Linked DNA regions of Struthio camelus. The protein of the gene in region 1 interacts with the protein of each later gene in a biochemical or structural test. Links are inferred from orthologs where the notes say so. Each region holds a gene or a part of one and is shown on either strand. Other genes may lie near its edges.

Region 1 (10,819 bases):
ACTTGCCGTTATCTTGCCTCGCTCCCGGCATTGCACCTACTTCAGGACTCTGCTTAGCAAATTCGAAGCTTCAGGCATTTGCCTGAAAACAAAAACAGTAGTGGTCTGCAGACTTTACTGAAGTAAAATGATCATTGTCACTCAAGACTTGATTACAATTCCTCGTGAGTCATGTTTTGCTCGTGGTTATCATCCACAGGAGCAGGGAGGGCAACGAAGTTCTCACGACATGCCCCAACCCAGACTGGGGTACACGAGTGAAACTTCCCAGACACCGTCCCAGCACCGGGACTCGTGAACCATGGGTAAACTCAACTTATCTGTTTCCAAACAGTCTTTAATTTCTGAAGGCCCTGAATCCAAATAAAATACAAATTTCAGGTTAATTGAAGTGTTTTGTTTTGAAATTAAAACCTGAAATAGATTAGATTTCAAGGACGTGTATTTCAGGTAAAATCAAAAATGAGTTATATCTCAGTGCATTGATTCAGCAACCAAAACAACAAACTAGTTATTTTTTTCAGCTGTAAAACTGCGCTTTTCGGCTCTTAACGTCAACAGGAAGAAATGGGAGCCTGCTCTGAATGATGGGGAGCACTATGAGAAGAAGGGCTGCCATTGGAGGCAGGGGATAGCAAGGTGCCAGCAGCAATATTAGCCTTTCTGTGCAGTGCAGCGCAGGGCACACGCGCCCCGCCGGCTGCCGGCGGGATGCCCTCTGCCCACAGCTACTCTGTCCTAAACCGACACCAGGCATCTGCGAAATCCGGGTATTTATTCAGAGGCAGCAAGCATCCTCCGTTCCCACTGGGTTTGATCAGGGTGGAGGGAGGGGTGCATGGCTCAGCACCACTTCCGAAAAAAAAACAACCTATTTACTGTGGGTTTAGGACCCTAACTTTAATCGTAGAAAAGCTGAGTCTGTGTGTGGTTACCCCACAGCGAGCACCGTCTTATCCAGAGGCTGCTTTTCTAACTTAACTTTTATCTGCTCTTCCAAAAACAGCCTTTTAATCTAATAACAGGAGCTGGACCCAAAATCCATCTCATAACACCACTTAAGCCACGGTTGAACCCTAGATCGGGGGTCGAGTACTGAGGCCTTTACATCCATTAAGCATCTCGCCAAATCCCAGCAAAGAGCTGTCTGTTTAAATACGTGCCACTGCACAAGAACTTATAAATACAGAAAGGAAAAGGTCGTGAACTGTCTTCTGTGTGTGGTTTTTTAAGAAGCAAACGTGCCTCTGCCTTCCTGATCCCTGCTGTTCGGAGCGAGATAACAGCTCCCGGCGCTGCTCCAGGGCCTCCCTGCCCCAGGTCCCAGCGAAGGGTCAGGCCAGCTCCTTCTGCAGCCTTTTCCTTCAGCATAGGGCTTTAGGGTTTATTTATGTACCAGCCAAAATGCTAAGCAAGTGTGCCCTTAACGTAGTCGCAGGAGAGCAAAACCCTCCCTGGGCTGCAAGTTCAGCCGCAACGCATCATTTTCCCAGCGCTACCGGCTCCCACAGCAGTAGGAACCCGGAAAAACGCCACAAAACGCAAGCACCGCTTTCCTGCCTGGGCCCACCGCCCCAGCAGGAGTCCTCCTCCCAGGGCTGCCGGCCCCTCGCCTGCGCCCGTCCCGGGGGGCTGTGCCAAGCCTGGCACCTGGCGCCTGGCGGGGCTTCGGGGCGGCTCCTGGGAGCAAAGCGGAAGGCAAGGGAGAGGGGAGGGGCGGGGGGCAGCTTCCCAACCTCCCACCCCAGAAAGGGTAGGCAAACACCCGCGGCAAGGGGGAGCCCTCGCAGGTATTTCTCCATGCGGGAGCCCCTGCGTGAGGCGTCCGGCCCCGGGCCAGGCTGGTCTGGGAGGGCAGAGGAGCGGGGATCCCGGTGCGGCGGCTGGCAAGGGCGAGCGTGTCAGGCAGGGTGAGGAAGTGGCCCCGGGTGCCCTCGGCCCCGCGGGCTCCCCGGGGACAGAGCGAGCGCAGGCGGGTTTCCCATAAGCGGAGTGGAAAGCTCTTTATTTAACCCGTACCCGCCACCTGCCCCCAGCCCCAGCCCTGCCTCTGTCCATCAGGGCTTGGAGCTGCACAGACAGGCCAGGGCTACTTTTTTGGCAGGCTGAGCCACATAAAATCCTTTGCCAGCCACAGCTGAGTCAGGCTCCAGGTAACCCTTTCCCCGCGGCACCCAGGGGGAACACATCGGGTGTGTGTTGAGGGGGGGAACGATGGCCACCCTGCAGGAGCGTGGTGCAACACACGGCCACCCCAGGGCTGCTCACAGCAGGACCGGACCTTCTCCAACCCAAGCGAGCCAGGCAGGGCTGTCTCCAGACCAGGGTGGGTCCTGCCCCCCTCCCCTGTCCTCCTTCAGCTCCCTCCACCCAGTGCCCTGGTCGCTGCTCTCGCCCCGGCTTCCCACCCTCCCCGTTAAACCACGTGGGGATGCAACAGGCGACGTCAGTGAGTGACGCAAAACTGACGGAAGAAACCAAGCAAATGATGACAGAAACAACTGCATCGGGGGCGTGACAGAATGACTGATGATTTAATGCTTCTTGAAGTTTTTTGTTTCCTTCCACAGGGCATTGGTTTTAAAAACAAACAAAAGGAGGTAAAATAAATTAATTTATGTACACTTTACATACACCGTGTCACGTGGAGCTTTGCAGCAACGGTAACCAGAAATCGTTACAAAATAGAAAGTTACATGGCTGTTGCAGGTCCTCAGCAGCCTGCAACGTACAAGGTCGTCATCCTGAGCATGGTTGGCAAAGTGATCATGTAAACATGTTTAGAAGCATTTACGGTGGACAATGGATGGGCCAGCTTCATCGTATTCCTGCTTTGTGATCCACATCTGCTGGAAGGTAGACAGGGAGGCCAGGATGGAGCCACCAATCCAGACAGAGTACTTACGCTCAGGTGGGGCGATGATCTAGAAGAAGCCAAGAAAGAGAGGAGATCAGCGAACAAGCACCCGCTGCGGTGACAGGCGCTGCCTTTTCTTAGGGCTGTGCACAGCTCCACCTGCTGTCTGCAGGAGGGGAAGAGGGACATCCCCGGAGGTGTGTGCCCGGGTCTCTCATGTTCCAGTCTTACCTTGATCTTCATTGTGCTGGGGGCCAGGGCTGTGATCTCCTTCTGCATGCGGTCAGCAATACCTGGGTACATGGTGGTACCCCCAGACATGACGTTGTTGGCGTACAGGTCCTTCCTGATGTCAATGTCACACTTCATGATGCTGTTGTAGGTGGTCTCATGGATCCCTGCAGACTCCATACCTGGCAGCAGGGGAGGGGGGAAAGGCAGGCACAAGTTAGGCACCAAGTGAGAGCTCTGCGGCAAGACTCAGGAGGGAGGGAAGAGCTGGTAAGAGAGGAAAGAGGGGAGGGGGCACACACCAATGAAGGAGGGCTGGAAGAGGGTCTCTGGGCAGCGGAAACGTTCATTGCCGATGGTGATGACCTGCCCATCAGGCAGCTCGTAGCTTTTTTCCAGGGAGGAGGAGGAGGCAGCAGTGGCCATCTCGTTCTCAAAGTCCAGCGCCACATAGCACAGCTTCTCCTTGATGTCGCGGACGATCTCGCGTTCAGCTGTTAGGGGGGAGCAAAGGCGTCAGTGATTGCAAGGGGGGAACAGGGCATGCCCGAGTCCCCCCCCACGGGTCTGCAGGGACTCCAGCCCCCTCCCTGACCATATGTGTGTTCCCAGCTGGGAGCACTCCCAGAGCTTGCCAAGGAGTGAGAGGTGGCAGCACCCCTGGGGGTGCAGGGGGTGTCTGTGGAAGTGAGGGGGGACATGCCGGGGAGGGAACAGTGCTTACCTGTGGTGACGAAGGAGTAGCCACGCTCAGTCAGGATCTTCATCAGGTAGTCAGTGAGGTCCCGGCCGGCCAGATCCAAGCGCATGATGGCATGAGGCAGGGCATACCCTTCATAGATGGGCACGTTGTGTGTCACACCATCGCCAGAGTCCAGCACGATACCTTGGAAAGCAAAGAGCAGCACCTGAGACGGAGCTCACAAATGGCCTTGCACTAGGGAGCAGAGCTGTAGGGGACCAGTCCTGGGTGTCCCCAGGAGAAGGGTGTCCTGTGGGACACTTGCACTCACCAGTGGTACGGCCAGAGGCGTACAGGGACAGCACAGCCTGGATGGCCACATACATGGCGGGCACATTGAAGGTCTCAAACATGATCTGGGTCATCTTTTCACGGTTAGCTTTGGGGTTAAGGGGGGCCTCAGTGAGGAGGGTGGGGTGCTCCTCAGGGGCCACGCGCAGCTCGTTGTAGAAGGTGTGGTGCCAGATCTTCTCCATGTCGTCCCAGTTTGTGATGATGCCGTGTTCAATGGGGTACTTCAGGGTCAGGATACCTCTCTTGCTCTGAGCTTCATCCCCTACGTAGGAGTCCTTCTGACCCATACCCACCATGACGCCCTGCGGGGCAAGAAAAGGGGGTGCTCAGCAACCTCTCCGCGGGACTCCCAGGCGGGCAGCGAGCTCCCGCTCCGCGTGTGCGGAGCCACGTGGGGCCGAGCGCGGGACGGGGCAGCGCCCAGGGCACCGGGCGCAGGTCCGCGGGAGGATGGGCTTGGGGGGGTGGGGGGGGAGGGAGCAGCAAGACGGTACCTGATGGCGGGGGCGGCCCACGATGGAGGGGAACACGGCTCTGGGGGCATCGTCCCCGGCGAAGCCAGCCTTCACCAGGCCGGAGCCGTTGTCGCACACGAGCGCGGTGGTCTCGTCCTCGTCGCACATGGTGTCGGCTTTCTGCGGGAGGGCAGAGGGGCTCAGCCGCGGCGGCGGGGATGCCTGCCTCTGCCTCTGCCTCTGCCCCTGCCCCTGCCCCTGCCCCCGCTACCCACCCCCGACGGCGCGGCCCGTCCGCCAGCCCGGGGGGCGTCGAGGGCGGCCTCCGACGGCGGCGGCGCTGCTTACCTAGGGCGGGCTGCGGGCTCGGGGCCGCTGGGCAGGGAGGGCTGCGGCTGCTGGCCGGCTGGCTGGGGGGTCGCGGCCGGCCCCGCCGGCTTTTATGGGGGCGGGCGGGCGGGCGGCGGCCGCCCCCAGGAATGCGGCCCCGACCGTCTCCATATTTGGGCGTCGGGCCCGGCCGCGGCCCCCGGCCCCGGCGCTGCCCAAACAAGGCGCTCCTGGCCGCGGCCCAGGTGAGAGAGGCCCGGCCGTATAAGGAGCGTCTGCCGTGGGCCCCCCCCCCGCTCCCCGCCTCCTCCCCGGCCAGGGCAAGGGGCCGGCCGCCAGCCTGTCCGAAATATCCCCCGGCACCCGCCTGGCCCGTTAAGGGCAAAGCAGGTGGGAGGCGGCGGCGGCGGCGCGGTGGGGCAGGGGCGCCCGGCGGCCGCCCGAGGGGACGCGCCCCGGCCCCGGCTCGGCGGCTGCTCTAGGTGAAGCCTGCGGGCCTCAGCCTCGTCACAAGGTGCTCACGGGCTTTAAGAAGCGGTAAAATCCTTACAAAGCTTCGCCTTTTTTTCCTAGAAGTGCCGGTGCAGGCTACCTCCCGGGAGGGGAAGCGGCGCGAAGGCGTAGGCGAAGCTGAAGTGGAAAGGCGGCTTCGTGGTTTCCGTGCAACACCCGCCCCTCCGCGTGCCTTCCAGGTGCGGATGGGGTCGGGCTTTATGTTTAGCCCATGTGAAAGCCACAGCTTTACACGCTAAGTTACGTGTTTTTTTCTTGGATGTGATGTAAACACGGAAAATAAGCGTGCAGGATAACGACAGTTAGTCAAACGCTTCAAGAGAAACCTGGGGAAGCATTCATGCCCGGGACTGTGCTGATCCCAAAAGCCTGACGCAGAAGTGGATGCTGGTGCCCTTACCGGGTGCCCGTGACTGGACTGCTGAGCTCAGCCTGGCCGGCAGCAGAGGCATCCTGTGTAGGTATCACACAGCAGCTCACCCTCCTAAAAGGCAGTGTGGTCTCACAGACAAGTCATCTCTGACCAGATGCAGGCACTGTTCCTCAGTAAAGAGGGACAATCCGTTTCCTTCAGCTATGGATACTTAAGCAGAGATGCCATGTGGGGAGACCTGGAAGATTTCATACAGAAATTCTGACTACCAACGGAAAGAAGCAGCAAGGCGAGGAGGTAACGCAAGTAGGTTTGCAACTTCCCCAGCAAGCTGCTGCACATCAACCTTCAAGACTTTCTCTGAAGGTACAACTGGCCAAGGGCAAACCCTTTTGAAATTTGGTGAAAGGAAGTCCGGAGAGGAGGAAGAAGAAATACTAAACCAGAAACATTCTTGCTGCAAGGAGTCTCCTGAAAGCAATGGCATTTCAGTAACTGCGTTTCCCTCACTGCAAGGCACAGCAGAAGGGTCAACAGAGAAGGAGACGGCTCCTCTTCTGATAATTTCTGCATCCCCTCGTTTGGCAGCACGCCCCTTCACCGCTGGCTGCACCCTGTTTTGTTCTGCTATAGATTGCCGTTTGCTGTCTTGTTACTGCATTACAGCACACTGGAGATAAAATATGCTATTTTCTCATGCTGTTCTTCAACTTCTTATTTTATTCTTCAAGTCTGTCATCTACAACTGACAGCACAGAAATTGAAAGCCTGAAAGCACTTAAAGGAATCACAGCCATCAAATCTATGCACAGAACTGTAACGCTCAGCCATCGAGTCTAAAATACAGCGAGTTGTGTTGGTCAGATGTTGAATTTGAAATCCAGTGACGTTTATAACAGAATTCCTGCCTGAAACATTAACATCACTGAAAAACATTCTTAATGCTCCTTTCAATGAAACCTGACACAAGCATGGATCTACTCTATCCCTTCAGTTTCTCTGAATTCTCCCTCTTCCCAAATACAGTTTACAGCAAAATGCCTGATGGCAATGCTAGTTTCTTACAGTTCTGCCTAAGAGATCACTTTCTGCAGGGAGCTCTGATATTTAATTATGCTCACTAAAACAATTTGATTTTGGTCATAAGTCACAAAGCAATTGAAATTAGTTTCCAAGAGAGAGCGGGGCACAAGGAAAATCTTTTCTGAAACTTGTCACAAATCACAATTTATAAACTTTCCTGCTGCTCTAGTGACAATTGAGTATAGACCTGTGGACATTTTGTACTGTGTATATTTTGAATTAATGAGAAAATAAATATTTAAGAAACATACAACTCCTTATTCCAAAGGAGCCATCTATGCTCCTTAAACTCTTTTAACTGAAAACTGGGTGTGTGGGTGTTTTTTCTCCCAAACCAGCAGTAATTTATTTACTGTTTGTTACACTCGGAAAACAATTTAGAACTATTGTGTAGTCTTTGATACGTAAATGAAGGCATCTTCCCCATACAGTAATTTGAGAAGACAGTTCTGTAAAAGAACAGGTTGTTACGTAATGAAATAACGCGTGGGGAAGAGGAATAGTCCAAAATCTCAACCTTTTCAAGCTTCGTAACAGAGTAGTGAACCAATTCAATATTTCTAGTACAATAACATTTAACTTCAGTTTAGGCATGGAAGTTATTTTAATGAGGTTTTATTTAAGTAAACTCATTGCCTGTAGCCTTCTGTTTTGGCAATAGTCAGATGAAAGACATTGTACAAATGCCAAGTAGCTCCTAACCCAGCAGCAGAATAAAACAGTAGTAGTGAAAACTATATGGCTGAGTTTCCTGAGAACCTGGAGAAATCTTTCACGCTGCAGGGAGCAAACATCTGCCAAATAAGCCAGACACCCTGAAGCAGATCTGTAGCTGAGGATTATCAGAAACATGTACTTCCCCAGTTTTCTTCGGCTTACTCTTGCCGATCCTCACAGAATACAGGTGGTCAGCAGTCTAGGAAGGTGAGTTGGAGAAGGACAAGATATCCCTGAAGTGTTTTACTGCGGTCAATCAAGAGCTTTCTCTTCAAGTAAAATTTGAGCGTCCAGTAAAAGTTCAGCCGCGGAACATATATCAAGGGGTGCCAATCATTTGTTAGATTATTTATTTCTCCAGAAATGTTAAGTTTGTCAATCAGCTGCAACAACTTTTAAAAGCATATTTTAAAAAGCATGTGGAATTCTAGGGCTTTAAAGGATTCATTTGTTTGAAGCCACAGCTAGGAGTGACGGCCACGCTTCTGTGAACCATGCAAGACGGCAGAACAGCAAAGTTTGCGTCTTAGAACAACCTTAGAAGAGGACTGCTAATGCATTTCTTTCCCTTATTAGTTAGAACCTCTCTAGATAAATCTATTCTTCCAAACATGTTCAGACTCTCTGCCCAGCTTACTGTATTAGTACAGGGAGGAGGGGAAGAAACGGAAGGGGAGCTGTGCTTTTAAAACTAGAAACTGGATTCTCTTCAACCAATTTAACTTCTGACCTTCTCAGCTGTTGGATCAAGTTGTTGCAGCAGGCACGCAGCCAGACAAGTAAAACATAAGGGCATGCAAGTTGCTCTGTATTCACGCTCTGGCTGTCGAGCTACTTGCAAAAGAAAGGTGCAGCTTGTCATATTAAAGTCACTTTAACTGAATTTTAGATTTAAATTGCTACCAGCAATTTAAAACCGAAAAGTTATATGGTATTTTTTTACCACCATGTTAGAGATAACTTACTGGGACCGGGGAAGCAGTAGCATCAACTAGTAAAGAATGAGTCACCGAGTAAGGAAGATCATGCTGGACTCCCACTTTGATAGCTGCTTTCTAGGTTTCCTGAGAGCCTAGGTTCAAGCAGTTATGGTGAATGACTGCGCGGTAAGCTCTTAACTCCCATTGTTTTAGCTTTACTCTAAAAATCTGAATATAATTTATATGAACATTACAAATGGAAAAAAGAGTTGAAATGCATTGAAAATGTAAGTAAATTTAAGTTCACGTATATAACCTGGAAGAATGGTGTAGTGGCTGGACCACAGGGACTTTGAATGAGAACGGGGCTTTCTTCCTAACTGTCACTGGCAAGCTGAGTGACTTAGGACAAGACGATTATCCTTTTCGTGCCAGTATTCTTTAATGCAAAGTTGAATTTACCTAGTTCCTATGGCAGAAGATACTTCAAACTAAAGGTGTTCTATCAGTCCAAAGTATACAAAAAACCTTGAGAGCAGAGTTATGTTACAGAATAATAATTTATTTTCTAAATAAGCTCAACAGTCATGCAGCATTAATGTTTTCAAGTATGTTCTTCTGTGAAGACCAGTGAAATGAGTGCAAAAGATTCCACCTTCTTCAGTGGGTCCCAGGTTTCACCCTTTGTATCTGTGCATCTTTAGCCCTCCCAAATGCTGAATGAAGATATAAAGTAGGAAGTTTACAAAGGTACAGAAAATGGAAAAAAAAAACAAAAAAAAAAAAAACCAACCCTTTTTCTTTCACCTGAAAACAAACCACCACCACCACCCCACGACTGGAGTGTAACATTTATAAATTGTAAAGACCAAGCACATTACTATATATAAAGTTTATTACAAAGTTTTAACAAAATAAGAACAGAATGTAAAAAAAGTATACACGAATTTAACAATCCTTTAGAAAAAAAATATTAAAAAAGAAATAGTGAGATTCATCATGCTTGTCCCTGAACGTAGAGTTCGTAGTTTGCCTTTAACACAAATTCGAAGTAAGGATTAGATTTCAAGTTGCCAAGTTCGTCCGCTTGCAGCAAGTCTTTCACTTCTGGCAAGTATTCACTTAACTGAACGCCTACAAAACAAAACTTTTCATTATAGAACTGATAAAAATACTTAAGTGCTAATGCAAACACCTGTGCCTGTCTCAGTGAAACTACTCTCTGGAACTGAGAAGAGTTAATTCTATTGCGCATGTCAAGAAATACAAAACTGGTTATTCTGCAAAACTAGGAGTCAAAATTCAAGATTCAAATACTTCCTACCCAAACAGAGCTTCTCATAATGATTTAAAAAACACGGTGAATTCTATGAATAAACCTAAACAATCCTTAAACCTAAGAAATTTAAAACTTAAATCCAAGCCACGTAGCACTTTGGGGGAAAAAAAAAAAGACAAGAAAAAGAAAAAAAAGTCATGAAACAAATACTCCTACAAATACTCCTAATGTGGGTTGCAACATTTCAAGTTGGGCTGTGGGAATCTTACAGAAGGAAAGAAACTGATAGGATTGAAAACACAAAACTAGAACTGTTTTGAAAAACATTTATGATGTGGAACTTTTCCAGTTCTGGAAAAAAAAAAAAAGAGTGTATAGTAATATTAACACTGAATTTCTTTGAGTCTTCTAAGCTACTTAGATTTTTTTTTTCCAGAGTCTGTAACTTCTACGGCCGTAACCTTCCTTGGTCCATTTTACCTTAACGGGGGTTTTGTTTCATTTTTGCTTTTTCTTGGGGTGAGGGAAAAGGGGGGGGGAGGGGCAGGGAAGAACATTCAAGCTAAATTAGAGTAAGCTCTTTTAAGTGACAGACCATTAAATCTTAATCTCTTATTTTACAGAATATAAGCATTTGGTTCCAGAAGACATTTTATTGTGTGATAACAAACTGCTGAAAAGCTGACTGCTGCCCTACTGAGCAAGTAATTTGAGGATCTACTGAGATTATAACCAAGGAATCTGCTAGTCTTGCATCTCCTTATCACTTCATAAGAGAAGTGATTCTGTATCTGTGATTGTAATTACATACTGCATTGCATGCGGAAGTTTTTATTGTTCTGAGAAATTATTTATCCTCCTCCTTAGGTATTAGCTGTTCGTTTTAAGCAGCTTTAAAACGAAACAAGTTCAAGAAGTTTACTTTTATTTACATTTTACCTTCTTTCAAGAGTTTTTGTAATATTTTCACAAATATACTATCTTTAGATGCTTCAATTGGATCGTCTTTACCTTCTGAATTGGAC
Region 2 (10,771 bases), on another chromosome or scaffold:
GGGGCGGGGGGGAGAGGAGGTCTCTACCGCCGGTGGTGCGGCCGCCCCGCTCTAGAGCAGCAGGCAGGGGCCGGAGTCGCACGTCTGCCCCATCTCGGCGGCCATCTGCAAAAGAGGCGAAAGGCCGGCCCGGCGTGACTTTTGGTTTTTGTCTGTTTGTTTTTCCTGACGGGCCCGCGCGGGGGCAGGCCCGCCGAGGGCCCGGGGCCGGCGGGGCCCCTCGCTTTACCTGGCGGGCGCAGTAGAGGGGCGGCGAGTTGGCCGAGCAGCAGGTGGAGGCGAAGTCGGCCCGGCGGTCGGCCAGCTCCGCCAGGCGCTCGGGGCTCGCGCCGGGCACCGTCTTCCCCAGCTTTTCTTTTAGCCTGTCGGTCGGGGCCGGGGTTGGGGGAGTCAGGGCGGAGGGTGAGAGCCGGGGCGGGGGGGGGGGCTCTCGCGTCCGGCCGCCTCCGGGGCCTCACCGCTTCTTGAAGTCGAGGAAATCCAGCTGGGCGTAGGGGCCGCACAGCTCGCTCGCCCGCTCCAGGAAGGTGGCGAGCTCGCCTCTCATGCGCTGCCGCTGCGGGCGGACAAGGGTGGAGGGTGGGTCGCCAGCACACACCCCCCCCCCCCGGGGAAAGGCCTCTGCGGAGGGTTTTTTTTTGGAGGGGTGGGTCGGGGGGGGGGGCAAGGCGCCCACCTTGCCGTCGAGGCAGGCCGAGGCGTCCTCGGCGCCGCAGCACTCCCGGATGACGGCCTCGGAGGCGTCAAACAGCCGGCCGAGGAAGACGTCCGGGACGCTGGGTTGCCGCCGCGCCAGCTCGAACGCGTACCTGGAGCGCGGGGTGGGGAAGGCAACACAACGGGGGGGAGGCGAGGCCGAGGCCACGGGGCGAACGCTCCCCGCCACAACCCCCCCGGCGGAGGGCGGGGGTGAAGCCCTGGAGGCCACCGCCGCCTCCGCTCACCTGTCGACATGACGGGCCCGGTCGGCGCCGCAGAGCTGCTCGTCGGTGGGCTGCCGGAGGTCGGGCAGCGGGGGCGACTGGGCCGCTTTCAGGGCCGAGAGGCAGAAGTAGCCGCGCAGGGCGTCCTTCCCCTCGCAGCAGCCGGCCAACCTCTCGTCTTTGGCCGCCAGCGCGCCGCAGACCTTGGCGGCGTGCTCCGACAGCTGCGGCGGGGGAGGCAGAGGAGGGCGCACGCCTGGAGGAACCCCCCCCCGGCGGCGCTCTCGCCATCGCTGCCCCCCTCCACCCCAGATCTTCGACCTCGAGCACCGGTGTCCCCCCCTCCACCCAACCCCCAGGACTTCCCTACCTTCTTCTGCATGCAGTCTTCAGCCGTCGAGCCGCAGCACTGGGCAAACACCTCGGCGGCGTCCTCCGCCAGAGGGAAGACTTCCTCAAACGAAGCGCTTGGCGCCTTCTGGGCGAGCGTTGTTAGGTAGCTGCGGGGGGGAGGCAAAGCGCAAGAGGGGGACGCGTAGGTCCCGCGGCTCTTCGTTCTCCTGACCTACCTCGTGAAGACCTGGTGACCTACCCCGTGAAGACCTGGTGACCTGCCCCGTGAAGACCTGGTGGGGGTTTAAAGCCTCACTTCCTCCCTACGAGACCCCCCCGCCCCCACCGCCCCGCTCGGTTTGCTGCACGGGTGCCGACCCGGCCAGCGCGCTGTCTCACTACAGCTTTGGCAGGGGTGGGGGGGGGATGCGACTCGCCTTGGCATATTTTTGCCCAACTGCGGGAGGAAACTGAAGCTTTGCGTTACTTCTCGAGGAGGAAAAAGGGCGCGGGAGAGGGAGCGTGGGACGCGCTCTGCTAAGCGGGCTGCCTTGCCGCGGGCCAGCCCGGTGCGCTGGCTCTCACAGCTCCTCGCTTGAGAAAGCAGAGAGGGAAGCGGGTGGCCGGGCTGGCGGAAAAGCGTCGTCGGCCCTCTTTTACCTGAACTTGATTTTCTCCTTGCCGTAGGCCGCGAAGCGGGAGCAGACCCTGTTCGACATGAGCGTGAGCATGGAGAGGGTTTTCCTTTGCAGCTTCTGCAACGAGAAGGAAACGTCTGGGGCGTCAGGCGCTCGCGGTGCCGCCGCCGCCGCCGCCGCCGCCGGTTTTGAAGCAACCTCCTTCAAAACCACGTCCGCCTCCGAAAGCCGGCCGGGGTTGGGGGCAGGGGGTGGGGGGAGAGGGACAACTCACCTCTTTCAAGAAGCAGGCGGTGGGCGCCGGGGAGACGCAGCACGTGGAGACCATGGAGAGGAAGCTCCTGGCGGAGCCCAGGAGCACGGGCAGCGGCGCCTGGCCGTAGTTGCTGGCGTACTCGTAGAGGAACCTGCGGGGCAGGTGGGCTGGCTGGGAGACCTCGCCACCGCGGCGGGCCACCACCAGATGAAGGGTTGTGGTGGTGGTGGTAGTGGTGGGGTTTCGCAGCCGGCGGCGCGGCCCTCACCTGTCAGCGAAGTCCTTGGGGTCCTTGGCGAAGGCGGCGCAGAGCTCGTCGCCGGCCGGCTCCGCGTAGCCGGGAACCTCGCGGGGCGGGTGCTGCAGGGCGGCCAGGCAGAGCTTGCGCTCGAGGCCGGTGTGGACGCAGCAGGCGCCCGCCCCGGCGTGGTGCGGGAAAGGCGAGTTGGGGTCGCAGGACTTGGCCGACAGCGCCGACGACTGCGGGGGCGCAGAGGCAAGAGGAGTCAGAGGGAGGGCGCGAGGGGTCGCCCGAGCCCCCTGTGCTGCCAGGGAGAGGGGTTGGGGGGGAGAAAGAGCCCAAAATTTAATGCACCGGGAGGGTAAATCCCATTATTTTTGGGCACGTGCCTGAAAAAAACAGGCGGAAAAGGCTGAAAGGAGCTCTGTGTAGAAAGGTGCCTGCCCCAGGCTGGAAGCTCTTTCCCCGAATTAAATGTCTCCTGCCGGCCGCCGGCCGCCGCCGCGTTCTGCTCGACCTACCCCGGCGTCGTAGCACGAGGGGTCGGCGCCCTCGGCGCAGCAGGTTTCGGCCAGCGAGACTATTTCGCGCACCAGGTGGCTGATCTCCTCGAAGGTGGCGTTGGAGAACTTCCTGCTGTTCATGACAATCGTGCTGGGAGCAAACACAAGGGGGGAGAAAGCCGCGTTTTTACGTGTGGCCTGGCCCCAGGGTGTCCACGTTGCCTTCCTTCCTTCCTTCCGCCGCCGCCCCGACGCCGGAGGGCAGGTACGGTTTTCAGAGGACGTTAAGGGCGTTAGGTGCCACCTCTGCTCTAACTCCTGGTCCTTTAGGCACCTAACAGGGGGGTTCGAGTAGGCCCAGCGAGAAGCCAACTCTTCTCCTGCAAGCCGGCCCGTTGAAAGCAAGAGGAGGCCTCCTTTCCAGACAGCGGGGAAATCTTCCTGTTTCTATGGTTTTGGGTTTTTTTTTTTTAACCCCTCCCGCCCCCTTGGTCACGGCTGATGTGCCAAAGCAAAGGTCGGAGGAGATACGTACAGGGCTCGGAAGTTGTCCTTCCCCATGGTCTTGTATTCTTGACATACTTTGTCCCGGACGTAGGCTTTACCTGTAAGCCCAGAGAAAGGGTGGGGGGTGAAGGGGGGGGGCCACGATCGACCGCCGCGGCAGCAACGCCGCCGCTCATCCGCCCGCGAGAACGGGATCGGTTTTGCTGCAGGCCGCGTTGAGTTAGGCCTTTGGCGCTGGCGTCTCTGCTGCGACCTCGACGGGACCTTGCCGGGGAATTGCAGACGGGGGAAGGCGCGCGCAGGGACGACGGTTTGATGATGTTGCCGAGAAGAGGTTGGGCGGATAAGCCCCTGGCCAGTGAAAACTCGCTTGATTTATTTTCATTTTCAGAAACCGGCGCCCAAGAAACGCTTGCGCTTTTGGCCGGGTTTTTTTGGGGGGGGGAGGGAGGGGAAGGTGTACGATGGCCTGCTGAGCTCTGAGGGCAGCAAGACTTTGCCCCTTGCCTAGTTTCGGCCCGAGGGCTTTTTTCGGGGAAACGGCGCCTGCAAAGGGGAGCAGAAAGTCTAACCCCCCCCCCCCCCCCGCCACGCCGGCAAAAGAGGCCCCGCGACGCCGTCCTCTCTCGCTCCCACCATGCCGCTCAGCCCTTACTGCAAAAGGATGATACCACCCCCCCCCCCAAAAAAATAAAAAAACCCAGGTACGCCCGGCCGTCGCACCCATTGCGGCTGCTTTCGGGGCGCTTACCGCGGTGCTCGGCGTCACCCAGCGCCGCCAGCAGCAGCAGCAGCGGCAGCAGCAGCCGCCCCAGAGCTCCCGTCATGTTGCAGTCGGGTCCCCGCCGGGCTCGTGGCGGCGCCGTTCGCCCCTTGGCTGGCTGCTCCGTGCAGAGCCCCCACCACCACCACCACCACCCCGGCCTTTATATGGAGCTACCGCGCGTCGCCCGGTGAATGATTAATGCTGCTGCCCCCCCGGGGTGGGGGCGGCGGGGGGCAGAGGCTCAGCATCCTTGGCCTGCCGGAGATAGCGCGGCCCGAGGGGCGAAGGCAAACACACGGCGCAGGGCGCCAGCGCCCCCGAAACCCGGCCGGTTTTTAATGATTAACCTTGCGAAAAAAGAGGTGCAATGGGGGGAAAGGTGCAATGCGGGGAAAAAAGAGGTGCAGGGAGGAGGAAATAGGTAACGGCGCCGGGGTGCCGGGTCGGGGTGACCGCCACCGCCGCCGCCCCGGGCGCGCTGAGACCCCGACGCACGCTGCCGGCGACCCCCGCTGAGATGGGGACGGCAGCCAAAACGCTAACCCCTCGGCGGAGCTTTTTTTTTTTTTTCTTCTTTTTTTTCTATCTTTTTTCCCAAATCTGCAGTTCTTACAGAGTAGCGGCATGCCGAAATGCGATGCGGCTTTCTTTGACGGTCAGAAGACTTCACAAGCCATTAGACTGCTTGATTACTAGGTGCCTGGGGTATAAACCCAGACGATAGGTTATTTTGGTGTAAACACAGATTTTTTTATTTTATTTTATTTTTTCTCTTCTGACTCCCCTCCGCAATTTAAGCTGCAATTTCGCAGCAGCGCGCTGGAGAATCACCACCCGCTCGGTGTATTTTTTGCAGAAACGCAGGGATCTGTTAAAACACACTTAAGAGAGGTGCTCGTAAAAATCGCTGCGAAGTGGGGGGGGAGGCTCAACAGCTGCTCCAGCGCTGCAACGGGATGCGAAAACCAGCCGGCGGGCTGCTGCAGCCCTCGCCCTTCCCAGCTGCCGCGAACCCTCTGGCTCGGCGCTTGTTTGCCTGCCTGCAAGCGCGTCCCCGCTCTGCAAACAGGTCAATGTGCTCCCGCCTGCCCTCCCGTCCCTTTGAACCACTTGCCCAATCGCCCACAGTGCAGCTAATGATTAATTCGGCCCAGGATGCGTCGTTGTCGCCGTCCCCCCCAACCCAGCTGCCACCGCCACCACCACCACCACCACTAGCCACCAGCCACCACCACACCCAGCCACCACCACCACCGCACCCAGCCACCACCACCACCAGCCACCAGCCACCACCACCACCAGTCACCACCACCACCACCAGCACCGCCAGCCACCACCACCACCTGCCACCACCACCAGTCACCAGCCACCACCACCACCAGCCACTACCACACCCAGCCACCACCACCACCACCACCACCAGCCGCCAGCCACCACCACACCCAGCCACCACCACCACCACACCCAGCCACCACCACCACCACACCCAGCCACCACCACCGTCACCACCAGCCACCACCAGCCACCAGCCACCACCACACCCAGCCACCACCACCACCACACCCAGCCACCACCACACCCAGCCACCACCACCACCCCCCGGCTATTTTGGGTTCTCATCCCGCCCTCAGACAGGCTCGAAGCTGCTCCCACATTTTTCTTGTGATGTTGCCCCACCACACCGACTCCGCGATGCCCGTGACACCCAGGCCAGCGCTGCCTCAGCCTCCGCGGTGGATTCGCTGGGCTGACGGCTGAGGGGAAGCATTGGTAAGACCAAAGCTTCTCAACACGTTTCGCTTGGCTGGACCCTGGCTGGAAAAGCAAGGGGTTTCATCTGACTTTTCTGTTTCTGTAGGACCCCTTGGGCTGCCCCCAGAATGACGTGACCTCCCCGTACCTTTCCTGCCCTTTCAGGGATGGGGGGGAGCAGGAAGACGACACGCGCTTGCTGGGCGAGCGCAAGGCTGTTGAAGAGCCGCAACTTCTCTGTCTCGGTTTGTTTTTAATCCATCTCTTAATGCAGTCCCCTCTGCAGCTGCATGGATATACTGGATGGCTGTGGGCAGCTAAAACTAACCATCGCACACGCTTTCTGATCAACGGGGACAGCAATAAAAGCAGAAAGGGCAATTACGTTAATGGTAAGGACTTAAGCAGCAAAGCGCAGCCCTTTGGGTAATGAAGAACAACTTCAGCCAACAACCTCCGGCGCTTGCACCACGCATTAAGGGCTTTTCATCAGGAAAATACCCAGAAGATGAAGATGGGGAAGAAAGAAGCCTGACCGTCTCTTCCCCTCCTGCTGCTAAAGAAACCCCTGGGGCCGATAACTCAGGTGACGTGGGTTTGTGTCCTGGCTCTGCCACGCGCTCGCTGAGTGACCCTCGGCAGCTCGTGCAAAGCGCTCTGCCCTCTTTCCCCATTGAGAAAGCGGAAAAGGAATTTGTTCCCCCCCTGCCCCTGCCTTTTTTCCAGGGTGCAGCTCTGCTTGCAACCTGCAGTGGTGCAGGGCAGCACCATAAGTCCAGCAACTGCCTTGGCGGGTCCTGCACCCTCGTGTTAAATTGTTCCTTCCCAGACACCAGCGCTCCTGTCCTGAAGCTGGCCCTGCCGGGAGGTCGCACCAGAGCTTGCAGGCATGGCCCAGGCACGCTGTCCAAGCCTGAAAACTGGCCAAGGCTCACGTCCCGAGCAGGAGAAACTCCCAACCGTGCCATGCTTGCTTGAAAGTCACTCCTAGAAGTCAAACTTAAGCAAGCTGAGCCATCCCGTAAGTTTTCTCATTCGCCTTTCTTAGGTCCATGTGTCCCAAATGCCCATATTTTCTCTTGGGAGTGTTTTAGAGCTGTGCACTGTCTCCTCAGAGCTAGCTTTCCGTTTGCCCTTTCTCCCCGCAGAAGTCCTCTTCTAGCTCTTCAAAGCAGAACCTTAAAAAAAAAATCTCAATTTTTGAGGAATGCCAATTCTTACGTTTTTAGGATTTACCCACCATGGCCCCTGATTGGAAAGAGCAGCTCATCGTTTGCTCTTGCTGCCCAGGCACGTACACGCACAGCCAGTGACGAGGGAGCACCCCCCCCCAAATGTGCCTCCTGACCTGCTGCGTGGAGCAAGGGACACAAGAGGAGGATGAAGGTCTTCTGCAAACGGACTCAAAAAGCTCTTAGGCTGTTTTGAGACGTGAAGGGACCCGCTGGTGGGCCGACCACCTAGGACAAACCTAGGCAGGGGATAAATGGCCCGAGCAGGCAACTCCTCCCCGCTTGTCTCACGAGTGGAGATGCGGCGCGTGGGGAAAGAGCCATCCCACCCAGCAATTTAGCCCCGAGCGGCTGGACCAACAGCTGGGCTGATTCCCCTCTTGAAATGTGAAGGGGGGTGTGTCAAGATGATGAGGCCAATCTTCTCCGTGGTGCCCAGCGACAGGACAAGAGGCAACGGGCACAAACTGAACCACAGGAAGTTCCATCTGAACATGAGGAAAAACTTCTTCACTGTGAGGGTGACAGAGCGCTGGAAGAGGTTGCCCAGAGAGGTAGTGGAGTCTCCTTTGCTGGAGACATTCAAAACCCGTCTGGATGTGACCCTGGGCAATATGCTCTAGAGGACCCTGCTAGAGCAGGGAGGTTGGACTAGATGATCTCCAGAGGTCCCTCCCAACCTCAACCATTCTGTGATTCTGTGAAACCATGTTTTATGAGCTTAAGTGCAGGGACAGGTCAAGGTCACTGGAGGTGTCAGGGAAAGTGGAGCTGGGGAGGGGGGCAGAGGTGCTCGGGCGACCACGCGAGCAAAACCATTCCCTCGGACGCCGACTGGCCCCCAGCCCACCCGCCCGCCCCGCCGCCCGGCAACGGCCCCTGTGTGTGGTCGGCGCGCCTTCACAATGCCGGTGGCGTGAAAAGGGGGCTGCGCCACCCGCCCGGCGCTCACACGGCTCCGCGGCGCCGGCGCGGCCGGGCGAGACATGGTGTGCGGCCCTCGGGGCCCGCTGGGCGACTAGGCTGCGGCGGCCATGGCGAGTCACAGGGGCGCCGAGCAGGCTGCCGGCGGCCACCGCCGGGTCCCCCCCAGCAGGAGGAACAGACGAAATAGGAAATTCTACGACAAACCGCTGGGCAAGAAGAAAGGTGACGGCGGCAGCCGGCCCGGCGCCGGGGCAGGGGCAGGGGCAGGGGCAGGGGAGGGAAGCACCGGGGCCGCCGGGGAAAGCTGAAACTCCTTCGACGGGTGGACGGGTTGGGTGAAGCCTTCTCCTCCCCAACCCCGGCCCCGCCGCAGGCTTTAATTCGCGGCTGCGCGTTTCCCCGGCAGGGTACGTACGCGTCTGCGCAACCTACTACTACTGGAAGAAGAGGTGAACTCCCGTGACGCGGGTCCCACGTGCGTCCTCTCCATCCACCCGGCGAGGGAACCGCTGCCACCACCACCACTGTCGCCGCCGCCGCCGCCACCCCCGGCCTCAGAGCAACCCAAGCAAACGAGCGGCGATTTCGACCAGCCGAGACACCAAGAAGAGCTCCACCAGCAGCCTGGCCGGTGCCCAACGGGCGTCATCAACAGCAGCGGTGAAAACCTGCCAATAAAGTCCTAGAGCGCAGCCGTGGCGCGTGGCGTGCTACCTGCCGGAGGCTCCGGCTGCTACGAAACCCGTCGCTCCGGGCCGTAATATAAGGTCTAGAAGGGAACCTGCCCGGGGCAGCCCGCGTTTTGGATGGATCCTCGGTGAACCCTTTCTTCTTTCCAAACCGCTCGCCGACCCTCGGAAAGCAGAGCTGCTAACGCGGCCGCGGCAACGCTTTGTCCTGCGGCCTCGGCGTCCCGCTCGAGCGCCTTGGCGGCTGCTCAGACGTTAACAGAGGGAAATAAGTCAAAAAAGCACAATGGACGCGTCTCTCAGAGGCAGGCGGGCGGGCGCGCGCACGGGGCTCGGCTTTGCTTAGGGCCGTTGACTCTTCAGCCCCGGCCACAGTTGCCACAAAGCGTCTAAAGCCCTTCTAAAATTTTATTTCGATCTGGCAGGGGTGCTTAATAATTGGGTTGGGTGAAATGAGGTGTGGAACGAGAGACGGGTTCTTCCACCCTCCGACCCAGCGCTACGGGAGGTAACGTCACTTGGCTAACTACCGTGCGAGAGGAAAGCCGGTTAATCGACGACAGAAACCGCGCGGGCTGGGTGGGACGGTCCGTATCTGGTCCGGATGCAGGCTGACAACCAGAAGGGTAACGATAACTCCCCAGGCTTCGTTACCGTAGCAGGCTCGTTAATAATGCCCCAACGCTCGCTTATGTGCAACCCAGCACTTTGGGGTTTTCTTTTTTTGTTCACCTTTTTTACCTCCTTTTTTTTTTTTTGGGGGGGGGTGCTGCTTTTGGCCGCAGACGCCGGCCGGCCCCTGCTCACCTGTGGTTGGGGCAGCCCTGCAGGTGCTGGCGCTTCCCGGCTGAGTAGGGAGCGATGAGAAAAGGTCTGCAGCTGGGGCTGGCCCCTATTGGGCCAGAAGGGCTCTGCTGCCCTCCTGCTCCTCAGTCATCTCTCTAAATTTGGGGTTTTTTTGGGGGGGGGGGGAGGGGGGCAGGCAGGGGGCCAGATGTGTTGGAGCATCATGCTGCTGCTCAATACTGTGAGCTTTGCCTTGATCTCCCAGTGACTGACTTTGGGGATGGGCTGGTGGCCCCTGGTGCGTGTGGGAACCTCGGGGCGGGGGGTCACTGCAAAACCTGATCCATGTGTTTCTGTTATTTGCCATCTCATGTTTTTACTAAGCGTCCTCAGCGTATTCTCCTTCGGTTTGTGGCTTGCTGCGGGTGGCCCTTGCTCGGGGATGTGAAGCTGCCGGCTGGGCCGTGAACCCCTCTGCTGCCCCCGTGGGATGTGAGAAATTCCCCGTCTGCTTCCTCCAAGCGCGGAAGTGGGACAAGGCGTGGGAAACCGTGGGCCAGCGCTGTGCCGCGAGGGCTGCGGTGCCGCCCCGGCAGCCCCAGAAACGCTCGAGGATGGAGCCGAGCCAAAATCCCTGCGGCTGAGCCAGCGCCTCGCTTGTGACGGTCATCGCGAAGAGCATCGCGTTGCGTCCATCGAAGCCACGCGAATAAACCAGTTGCTCCACCAGGGAGCAAATCAGCTATTTACTGGTCAGAGGGATCTGGCTCTTTCGTTCAATAAAATCAGCTCAAAGGGAAGAGCTTGGGAGCAAAAATGACCATCGGCTTTTTAAAATGATGTTGGCTTTGGCTCGCTCGAGAGCTGCGTGTCACTCCCCTACCGCTAGCGCGGGGACCCAAAGTCGTGCTCCAGGGCGCTTCCCAGCACCGCGTCAGGGAGCCGTGGAGTCAGAGAGGTGCAGGAAACCGTCCGGCAAGTGGAGAGAAAAAAAAAATGGCATAATGGGAATGAAAAGCAGTAGCTGGTGTTCGGCCACAACCCGCCGTTGACTCTGCCGGGGGTCCCGGACCCAAGTTACGCCGTGCGTCGTGGCAGCAACCCTTCTCTGGGAGCAGATCATTTTCCCAGGGGGCTAATTTTCCCCTCCTGAGCGCTTCTTAGCACCTGTAGGGGCCGGGGAAGGAAAGGGGGAAGATGGAGAGACTCCCATCTGTT
Region 3 (10,345 bases), on another chromosome or scaffold:
TAAATAATGTTTCAGAATGCTCAACACTTGACATCACTTCAATTTTTCTTCACATACTGATTTAGTCAGACCTCTCTCCCAGCCCTGAAAGTTCACTAAACCTGTCTTTTACATGGTACTTACACTGCCAAGGTCAAGGATGAAACAGTCCCCAGTGTTGAAGCTCTCCCAGGTCACAGGGACCTCAGTTGCTCGGACTGTTCGCCTGCCTTTGACCTGAAGAAGCCTCTGGACAGCTACTTCATTGGGAACCACGTGCCTGAAGCCAGAAGCCACACCACCAGCCTAAGGGAAAAAGAAGAAAATCAATTCATGCTTGTGCTTTTACTCCAGAAAGAACTGAAAATCCTATTGATTTGCTATCTGTGAGCATTTTTTGCCTCTCTCAGGAAAGAAGGCCAGCAGTAGCTTACAGAGGGAGTTAGTTTGCCCCAGTCTGGGTTTTCATATATCAATATATCCATCACCCTGCAAATTTCTGTGGTATCTATTCTATGGGACACTGATACAACACAGTTGGAGATCTCCAGATTTGAAGAGGATGATGAAAGTTGAGGTATTTGTAGGGTTTTGACTGCTGGGGTGAGAGGTGCCTGACTACCAGAAACTACCTCATTATCAGTATTCACTTTCTCTGCTGATAAAGAGATACTTGCAAATTCCTTGTCCACTTAGGCAATGGGACTAACGTCAGGACTACATGTAAGTATTTTGCAAGAATTTGACTTGGTATCAGTTTCCTTGTGCCGCTGGATTCCTAACAAACATAACTATTCCTGACCATAAGCTTCTACTTCTTCTATTCCATTTTTACTGCAATGGGATGAAAGAGTAATTCCCACACCTATTCTTCTACTTTACCAAAATATTATGAATGCCAGGGAGGTGGGCTGAGCACACAAAAAGAGATGGGAAAGGTCAAACTCTGTTCGGTAAGTGGGGAGAAATTATTAAATTACTGAGTAGGCGTTTCCCATTAACTCAGATTGCTGTTTCTTAAATTAATTCCAGACATCTTGAGACTGTTCTTTCCTCTGCTTCTCAAAGGAAAACAAAACTCTGATTTCTAAAATTTCCTGGGGCTTTGCTTGTGTATTACTAATTCAGCCAAAGCTCTCCCATTGGGATCTGCTGTTCTCCACCCTGTCAGTTCCAACTCATTGAAAACATCTGGTCAAGAGTGGGTTTTTTTAGCAGCTATCAAAACGGCAACTCTTCTTCTTCTGAAGATGTCAATCCTTGCAGACTTGATTCAGTTTGGCAGTATAAAGAGCCAGTGATTGCCTACCTTGTACTTGATGCCAGATTTGAAGTACCCCAGGAAAGTTGAGGACTCGTGGCCTTGCACTTCACGATGCTGGACAGCCTTCCCCTGAAGGTAGTCATCCATCTGGACAGTGAATATGGCAGCTGCCCCACGCTCATCTTGAGAGCTTTCATCTCCTAAGAAATGAAAAGGCAACAGCTTGGAGACAATGTGAGGTTTCTGCCTCTTATGTTTAACCATGCAAAAATACTAGGGAGAAAGGAGATCACTGGAAAGCTTAGTTTCCAGAAAGGTCTGCAGAATAGCCATCTCCAAATAATGACCCCAAATAGCAGTACAAACCGTATATTTTGCTGGCAGGCTCATTACACCATTGTAACTGCTGCAGCCCCACTGAGGAACCACTGCTTTACAGCTACGTCTTTGATAGGCATCATATACTCTCCCTTTACTTTTTCACCTTGTCCTGGAAGAAAATTTGCTAGAGGCCAAATGCACCAATCTCCAAATGCAGCTGAAGTAGCAGCAAGGTGTTGTCAGGCTTTATGAAGGCTATAGAGATCAGTGGGGCACCAAGTTCCACATCAGCTTGCCTCTCAGGTCTACCAGGCGTTCTTTAGTGGGGAAAGGCTACTGGCAGATGGCAGACATGACAAAACACCATATTTGTATCCTACATTGCTTTGACTATAACTTGTTCCATGAGTCTTGGTTTTGCAAGATGTGGAGAAAGCCTTATCGTGTAACTCACTTACTGCAGAAGGCCAGTCAGCAGGTTTAAATTTCAGGAAAAAAAAAAAAAATCCGTTCTGAGCCAGGAGGATAATTACTGACTACTGATCTTTCAATAGAAAGATTTCAGTAGCCTCCTTCATCTGAGACCTCACCTTCTCTCTGGACCTGACAGTTTTGGAGAATAGGGATGTCTTCTGTCATCTTGACCAGAAAAGCCTTTCTTTCGGCACAATGCAACTTCTAAGTACAGAGATGGCGGCATTTACGATTGCAGAAACCACTTCAAATATTTAAGGTGAGTAGTACTATATGCACATAAAATTGCATTCTCTCTATAGCTATTTCCTCTGGTAACCCTTACTGGGCAATGCTAGACTAGTGAGAGGAAGAGAGTTCACTCTGGGCTCCTGGTTCAGTGAGGGCACTCCCATCAGACCTTACCTAACCAGAAATGCAAGTCGTACTGGAGGTTCCCACTCCGCTGCTTGATGGTGTTCAGCACAAGGTAGGAATCTCCTGTGAAGAAGTCTCCATACAGATTTTTTGGCACTGGTACCAAATCAAATTTCTCAATCCGCCAGATCTGAAGGCCAGGTTCCTTCCCAGCCTTCAAAAACTCGGCGTGTTCCACCATGCTGACAGGCTAGAGGCAAGACAGAGAATGTTGTTCAATAGGCACAGTGCACAGAAGCCCTTGTTTAGATTATATTGCCTCTGATCTCTTAACTATTGTTCCAGGCAACAAGTGGAAATTTTCCTATTTTCTCCTGCGTTGAATTTTACAAAAATCTCTCAACTGACCACTGTTAAACTTCCATTCAGCTCTACTTCCTGACTTATTGCTCCCTAGACTCTCCTTTCTCCATTCTTTGTCGGTAAGTCTACCTCTGTTGATTTTACTCTATATATTACATTTTCTTTCTTTTCTAATCTATAGCTTTTTAATAGGGCAGATAAATAATAGACAAATTCCCTTGCTGACTCTTCTTTTCTCTAAACGTCGCATGAGTTCCAAGAATCTAGGAAATAAACATACTCCCTTTAACTATACATGTTGTATACCTTGCACAATCTTTATTTAATGTTTCCTAAAACATAGATAATCTTATCTGTCTCTCTCTGGAAAATGTTATGAATATCATCACAGAGTTAGATTAACATGTCTCTCATAACTTCTCTGTTTATAATCCTGGCACACATTACTTCAGTACTTCTACATAACTGTTCTCTTCTAGGAATTACGCTAATATACATAACATCCTGTCCTGAAGGACATTGCAATTTTGGTTTAACACATATATTTTCATACTAATGCCGTATATTAACAATATGCATTTTAACAAATGTTGGGGGCAGTTTTATATAACTATACTGTGAAAGAATTCAGTCTGGTAACACCTAAAGGAAATAAAACACTTTAGTAGTATTGGCAAAGGGAGTTTGTCCACATATTATAGCATGCCTTTGAGTGATATCAGATAATAGGGAGGAAAAAATTAAAATGTTATATTAGAAGTATACAGTATTTTGACAAAGAAGATAGTTCATAGTAGCTGATGGACAAAAGTACAATATGCTCAGCTTTCAAGGCAGAAATAAAGAATGTTACAAACTAGAAAGCAAAATAGCAAGTTAGCTACTAAACAGATCCCTAAACTGAAATCCGATATCAAACAGACAAAGATGGAAAACAGTGAACTTACTGTTTTGATTCCTGACAGCCTGACTTAATTTCTCCCTAATTCCCCCGACAAAATTGGACAAAATCCTTACAAAGAGTTAGAAAAGAGTGCAACTCTTGCAAGTAATTGAAAAACAAAAGTTTTTCAATGTTTAATTGCAATGTATTCACTTACCACAGCTGAAAGCACAACAGCTGCTGTAACGATATAGCCAAGCCCTGCAACAGACACGGAGCTAACACAGTTCAGCTTCAGAGCCATTGTGCAAAATACAGTGAAAAATATATAATTGAAGTCTTGTTTGCACTGCAACTTAAATAGCATTTCTAACAGCAAATGGGCTTCTCCCTTCTTCTGCAGAAGCTGTAGGGAGTCCTTCCTTCTCTTGCTGTTAATGAAGATGCACTGCAGAATCCAGTCTTTTATCACATACAAACACACCCACTCCCTCAGCAATACAGGGGCGTAGCATGTTTGTGCACACGGTCCTCTTGGAAGCCTCAGATACTAAATCTGCCATTAACAGAGGCTTAAACCCAACAGGCAATAATTCAGGACAGTATGCTATCCATTATAGCCAACAGTGCAATTATGTTCAGACAAGCCAAATATCTAGTCAGAAGGCCAATAACAGAGGGAGAAATGAAGGGACATCAGCAACAGAGGCAACATTTTATCAGCTGAAAGCTGCAGATAAATGGAAAGCTGATGAGATGCAGAGGAATAGAAAGGCTGTTCAGATGGCAAGGAGCACAGAGAAAAAGATTTTGGAAATGAGAAAAAGAACAGAGAAGAACTGAAAGGATACAGCAGTATAGTATAATCTATATAATACAATCTGAGGATGGAAGGAATATGCCCTCATCTCTCTGAATTTGTCAAGAGTGGCAAGAAGCAAAATTCAGTATGTGCTTTGTGTGTCTTGCACCTGGATGCCATCTCCATACAAGCTTGTATCAGGGTGGAGGGGTGAGAGAGAGACCAAGGTATTTCAGCTCATGTGTTACCAAGGGAGCATTAGTAAGACTATGAGGCAGGTGAGAGAACAAGAGCTAATTCAGTAATTTCACAACCCAGTGTTACTGAGGCTGCATCGAGACCTTGTGACATGACTCTAGCAGCCATCAAACCTTTCAGTTCAATGGAACTACAACAGTATGCCTGATAGTAGCACGCTGAAGATCTGCCACCAGCAACAGAGCCAGTAAAGCGCTTGCTCTGTCCAACTTTCATGCACGTCAGCAAGTAAATCTATCGCATTTCCCAAGTGTTTTAAGTAAACTGTGCAGTACGAGTTGTATACCATGCTCCACTGTGGCATCTCATGAGCAGATAGCCATACGCTCTTACTAGACAGCGGAATAGAGGTACCAGCAGCAGATCCGTAACACCGTGTCTGCCAAACACTGCCCAAGAGTTGCTCAGACTTGCTCTGTGGTGTGTGGCTATGTACATCCTAGAAGGTCAGACAGGAATACCAGGAGGAATGTGACTAATGCCTACATGTATTTGCATTGCTGGTTACACTTTTGCTCTTAATGCGCATTGGAAAGAACTACTGACAGTCTGAGCTTCCTGCTTTCATAATCTCTCAAAAGACGGTTAAATAAGGGGCCAAATCCTTCACCTATTTAAGACCATAACAAAGTTTCCACAAGGGAAAGATCAGATCCCCTTTTCTGTGCTTTCTCCTCTCTCCATGACGATATTTTCTCTCTTTCTTTGTCTCTCACTAGGACATACTGTTTCTTTCTCTGTTGTCCAACCTCATGCATTGTGTTTTGACAGTTCATCCTGGCAAACTCTGTTCTCCTTAATGTACCTCTGACAAATTTCACTGCAATTTCTCAAACTGAAAATAAATAATAAAAACAATGTATTTGTCTTCAAAGTATTTCTGATCTCTGTGAAGGAAGTTCAGAGTGCCAGAGGTCTGAAAAGCAGTAAAAAATTTTGGAACCCTAACTGTGCACTGAATCAGTTCTAGCAGTCCTCAGAAATCAGCTGTGAACGGCTTCTGCAGCTGTAGCATACCCAAAATAAGATCACTGGATTGCATAACATTAGAAAGAGATGGGTCCCTTCCAAATGGAAAAATACTTTTGACTTCTTATTAATAAATATGTGTACAGTGCCGAACTTAGCAAAATTTGCAGAGTAGGTGTGAAGACCTAGGATAATTTTCCTTGTTAGCATCCCATTTTAGGGTAACTTCACACAGGTATATGCTCATAAGCATGTATGGTATTTTGGAAAAAAAAAAAAATTGGATTTGGCCTTCTAATTAACTTGGCATTTGGTAAGTTTTGCCTTCAATCCAAGCTTGCAATGTCAGTTAGTTGCAGAAGGCAAACACAGGCAAAAGAAGCAAAGAGGACTACAATGAATAAATTGTATATTATAGCGTTCTTTGGTAAAGATTCAGCTAAAGCATGTCAGGAGGGAATAAGTGTAATATACTCCCACAGCTGGTATGGTCTATTACTGTTGTCAACAAATGTTGTATTGTTAAATCAAGCCACAGAAATCTGTGCTCTGGATGTTTTATTGGTGGCATACGCCAGATGCGATTACAAGCACCATACCGAAAAGGATGTGCTGTCGGCAATCATGGGAAAAAGGCAAATTTCAAGCTGATGTTAGTAGAACTGTCCAGCTTAGTCACAGAAATGGTGCTATGCAGAGCCAACATCTTATGCAAAGAAAAGTTATTTAAGGAAAAAAAAGAAAAGGGCTTGGAAAACAGGATTTCAGTGCAGATGGATCATCTGAACGAAACTTGGCTGTATAGCAGTAAAAACAATAATTTAAGAAAAAAAGTGCAGTGTTTTGAGCAAACAGCAGAAGGCAACAACTTATGTTATCCAGATGTGTGGTTAACAGAATGATGACAAGCCAATCTGAGAACATCTTATAATGGACACTAGCCTGTAGAAATAATTACAGGTATACATTCCCTACTTAGAACACAGAACATGTCAGACATGATATGCAAGGGAAGCTGACAATGTGCAAGGGACTCTGGTTGTCTCAGAGCAATGGCATAATTTCTAGATTGGTTTTTCAATAAAGTATTAGATTATCTTCCTGAGGCTGGAAGCTGTTCACTTCAGAGAAAAGGCCAGAAGAGTCAGGGAGACCCTCTGCTCCCTGGTCTCTCTCCTCAGCTCCCTGGTCTCTCTCCTCAGCCAATGTGATGTTGCTACCTTGCTGTATATCTTCTCTGTTATGGTGTTTTTAAAAGCCCTGGTAGAAGCCCCAGCAGATGCTTCTACTGCCTCCTGTCTGAGACTTGGTAGTTTTCTCTCCCAGTATCCAATCCAAAACATCTTTCCTATTTCTACCTTGCCCTCTGTAATAAACACTTCTCTCTGCCTCCCTCCTTCCTTAAATATTTCCATTTGTGTTCTTTACATTTACCTATATGGCTGTGCCTCCTGTTCTCCTGTCACGGAGTCACTCTACCCAAGACTTGTACTTTCCCCTCATAAACTATCAGCATTTTCACCATTTGTCTTTACATTTTTCTCAATTTGTTTCTGTTAAGAAGGTGCCTGGTTCTGGACCTGATCAGATGTGGCTCCACCTGAACTATAAAGAACAAACCTGCCCTGTTCCATTTCCAGACATATCTGTAGACAGAGAGCCCAGAATCATTTATTCTTTCTGTCCCCATCGCACTGCAAAGACAATTAAAGGGAACAACTAATGTCTAGTTCTCCACATCAAACACGCTGCCGCACCTTTGCGCCTACCGCCATTTAAAGCGTCTAATAATGCCATCTAAAGTATTTTTTTAAGGAGGCAGTATCATCCAGTACAGACAGAAGAGAAGAGAAAAATCTTTCTTCTGTTAGGCTCCAGACCAATTCCTACTCAACCTCAAACATTCAGAGCAGCTTACCAAAGCTGAAGGAATGCACACATTTTACCAACACATCCTCAGATTTCTGATACTGCCAGAGCATTTCCGATCACAGAACGTACAAAACAGCAATTTTTGAAGTTTTTTTAATTAAAAATATATTAAAGCCAGATTAAATACACTGGAATGGATCTAAATATTTATCAGCCAATTTATCTGTATGATATAGCAAAGATTAACATATAGGGCTTTCCTCACAACACTTTGTACTCTGCTGCCTCTAAGACTATAAAGAGAATATATATATTTTAACCCATTAAATTAAGTTTCTGGATGCTTTTTTTCTGGATACTTACTGAAGATGTGCAATTGGAAAAGAAGAGGTGAAAAATAATTGGTAAAAGTGGATGAAAGACAAAACAATTGCAGTAGTTCATTTAAATAAATTCAATTGAAAAAGGGATTATGTGTTGAGGAGGAAAAAGATATTTTAAGTGAACGTCTACAGGAAACAGAAACCCAGAATTCTGACAATTTCACTAACAGCTTTCTGATTTAAAACAAAGAGTGTGTTGGGGAGGCTTATTTTTGTTTGTCTGACAGTGGAGAGAGAACTCAGCTCCTTTACATTCAAAAAACCCCTATACAATATTTTACTCTTCTTGTAGCTTTTATTCAGTAACCGACCACTTATGAGAGAAAAATAAATATACATTTTCTTTGAGGATAACATTTTTCTTTGGAGCTGCAGTTAAACTGTGGCAATGCACACATGTATATACGCACAGATACAGTAAGGGCTTATCCACACAGGGCTTCTCAGGAAAGCTTGACTGAATTAAATGAGACTGTGAAATAAACGGCTGTAGGACAAATCACCATATGGTTGTTCCCATTTACAACTCAAGTGTCTTTAGTTCATGATAAGCTCAGTTAATTTGTCTTAACTTCCTACATAAAAAGGCCCACGCAGGAAGGTCTGCAGCCAACATAATAATACACCATGGAGCATCTAAAACACCTGCTGCTTACTTCTGGAACCATTCCTGCATTTCTAAACGGCAAAGGCTGTACTTTTTATTTTAATGGATTATACTTGCAGAGCATCAAATAACTGAGTTTCTAAAATATGGAGTGAGCAGTAAATCTTAGTATAGACTCTATCCAAACAGCCTTCATGCTGCAAAAATCCCTCTTGTGCACCAATCCTTATTGCACCCTGGAGGCAAATGGTTGCATTTCCATCCAGCTAATTCTCTCCTTCTGTCTGTTTCAGAGCAGGCTTAGATTTACAGCCCTAGATTTGCAGTGTCCTGCCCTGGGTACAGAACACAACTGCATATTCCAGGGTCTCCCGCCTCCAGGAGCTCCGTGGACCTGACGTGCCACAGCTGCCATGGGGAGGGCCTGGCTTCACTGCCTCCTCATTCCCTTACCTGCAGCACCGGGAGTGTTCGGACGTCAGCTCCAATGCCTGGGACAAGCTTTCCCCCTCACTCTATCACTGGTATTACATAGTCACTATTTGCCAAAAATTGTCTGCAGAATATGGACTGCTCCAAAGGAATAATATATCTCCTCAGAAAAAAAGAGACTCCATTGTCTGATAGTATTCAAGACCTCCTCTATCAAGCACCAGGAGGATAAGTAAATTGCCACTGTATTTTTGCTGCAACAACAGGAAAACCGTAAGTTGCTGTGGTTTGCAAAGAGCAAAGTTAGATCGTCCTGCTATCGTGATCAGCCCTAATTAAATCAACAGGTTGTACTTGTGGCAATAACACACCCAGTTTAAGAGCTATACGCTCCAAACTGCTGCCCGAAATGATGCCAAAGAAGAGGTCAGACATATCACAAAGCAAGCAATTTGTTTGCTTTAGGTTTAGCTATTTCTACACTGCGAAGAGAATCTACTTTTTTGACCTTAAGTTTTACTTAATTAAACATTATTTGAGTCTTAACTTGCAAATCAGTGGCACATGGAAAGTATGCCACTTAAACAGCCATTTCTTTTTTTCTCTAATCTTTGGTAGACCCATAAAAACTCTGACGAATTTACAAAGAGTGTGAGAATACACATTACAGAATCATTCAAGTTCTGACAGTAAAAAATCGAGATGTAACATTGCATAAAACAGAGACAAAAAGACAGTTCAGCGCAGTGTTAACAGCTGACGACAGTGCATACTTAAAAAGGAAGTGCTTGTCTACTTCTTACAGCCTTCTTGCCAAAATAGTATATAATATGACTAACTCTTCAGTAAGCCACTGAAAATAAATTCAGCTCTGTTGCCAAGGTGACAGGCATTGACAAATACCTAAAATGACAGCCAAAATCAGTCTTCAGATAGCTCTGAATTCATATACACACAAAACTAAAGAAAAGCCCCTTTCCTTGTATCCCCTGGAGAAGCTAGTAAACAAAGTATCTTTGGAATGAGAAAAAATGGCACAGAAAAGCCTCCTCCTACACTACACATACTGCCCCCATAAGGTATTTCAGTTCTCTCTCTCTGTGAGGAGCGGTATAGTTAATGGCATTCCTAGCAACCATATCTCAACAGATTCAACCAGTCACAAACACAAAAAATTCAAACGGGCATTGTCCCTTTAGCAGCTTCCTCCTTGATTTAAAATATGTGTCTGATTCCAAGAATAACTCACATCAACAGTCCTGGACACAAAGTACACTATGTATTCATAAATTAAAATTCCTGCAAAACCACTTTAACAAATTAAAACACTCAGATTATCTAAGTATTGTTCACTTTTTCCAGCTGTTTCTGTTTGCATTGT

What was found.
Region 2: the proteins of ACTA1 (region 1) and GC are reported together in a solved structure, tested with the Homo sapiens proteins (2 studies listed by BioGRID and IntAct). The link is inferred for Struthio camelus from reciprocal best matches to the Homo sapiens genes ACTA1 and GC.
Region 3: the proteins of ACTA1 (region 1) and GSN are reported together in a solved structure, tested with the Homo sapiens proteins (3 studies listed by BioGRID and IntAct). The link is inferred for Struthio camelus from reciprocal best matches to the Homo sapiens genes ACTA1 and GSN.

The regions. Positions count from the first base shown.
Region 1 is NC_090944.1:91,453,519-91,464,337, forward strand, and holds ACTA1 (actin, alpha skeletal muscle), read right to left. Parts: upstream 5,164-10,819; 5' UTR 4,928-5,163; intron 4,760-4,927; 5' UTR 4,748-4,759; coding exon 4,619-4,747; intron 4,427-4,618; coding exon 4,102-4,426; intron 3,975-4,101; coding exon 3,813-3,974; intron 3,583-3,812; coding exon 3,391-3,582; intron 3,271-3,390; coding exon 3,089-3,270; intron 2,925-3,088; coding exon 2,781-2,924; 3' UTR 2,507-2,780; downstream 1-2,506. Other genes in the region: nuclear pore complex protein Nup133, read right to left, coding at 9,513-9,649, 10,734-10,819. UniProt on the Homo sapiens protein: Actins are highly conserved proteins that are involved in various types of cell motility and are ubiquitously expressed in all eukaryotic cells.
Region 2 is NC_090945.1:7,195,096-7,205,866, forward strand, and holds the start of GC (vitamin D-binding protein), read right to left. Parts: upstream 4,458-10,771; 5' UTR 4,229-4,457; coding exon 4,153-4,228; intron 3,500-4,152; coding exon 3,430-3,499; intron 3,046-3,429; coding exon 2,913-3,045; intron 2,631-2,912; coding exon 2,419-2,630; intron 2,302-2,418; coding exon 2,169-2,301; intron 2,012-2,168; coding exon 1,917-2,011; intron 1,424-1,916; coding exon 1,294-1,423; intron 1,148-1,293; coding exon 945-1,147; intron 810-944; coding exon 677-809; intron 557-676; coding exon 459-556; intron 363-458; coding exon 230-362; intron 106-229; coding exon 52-105; 3' UTR 1-51. UniProt on the Homo sapiens protein: Involved in vitamin D transport and storage, scavenging of extracellular G-actin, enhancement of the chemotactic activity of C5 alpha for neutrophils in inflammation and macrophage activation.
Region 3 is NC_090961.1:2,897,047-2,907,391, forward strand, and holds the start of GSN (gelsolin), read right to left. Parts: upstream 4,138-10,345; 5' UTR 4,009-4,137; coding exon 3,859-4,008; intron 2,646-3,858; coding exon 2,444-2,645; intron 1,444-2,443; coding exon 1,289-1,443; intron 286-1,288; coding exon 124-285; intron 1-123. UniProt on the Homo sapiens protein: Calcium-regulated, actin-modulating protein that binds to the plus (or barbed) ends of actin monomers or filaments, preventing monomer exchange (end-blocking or capping).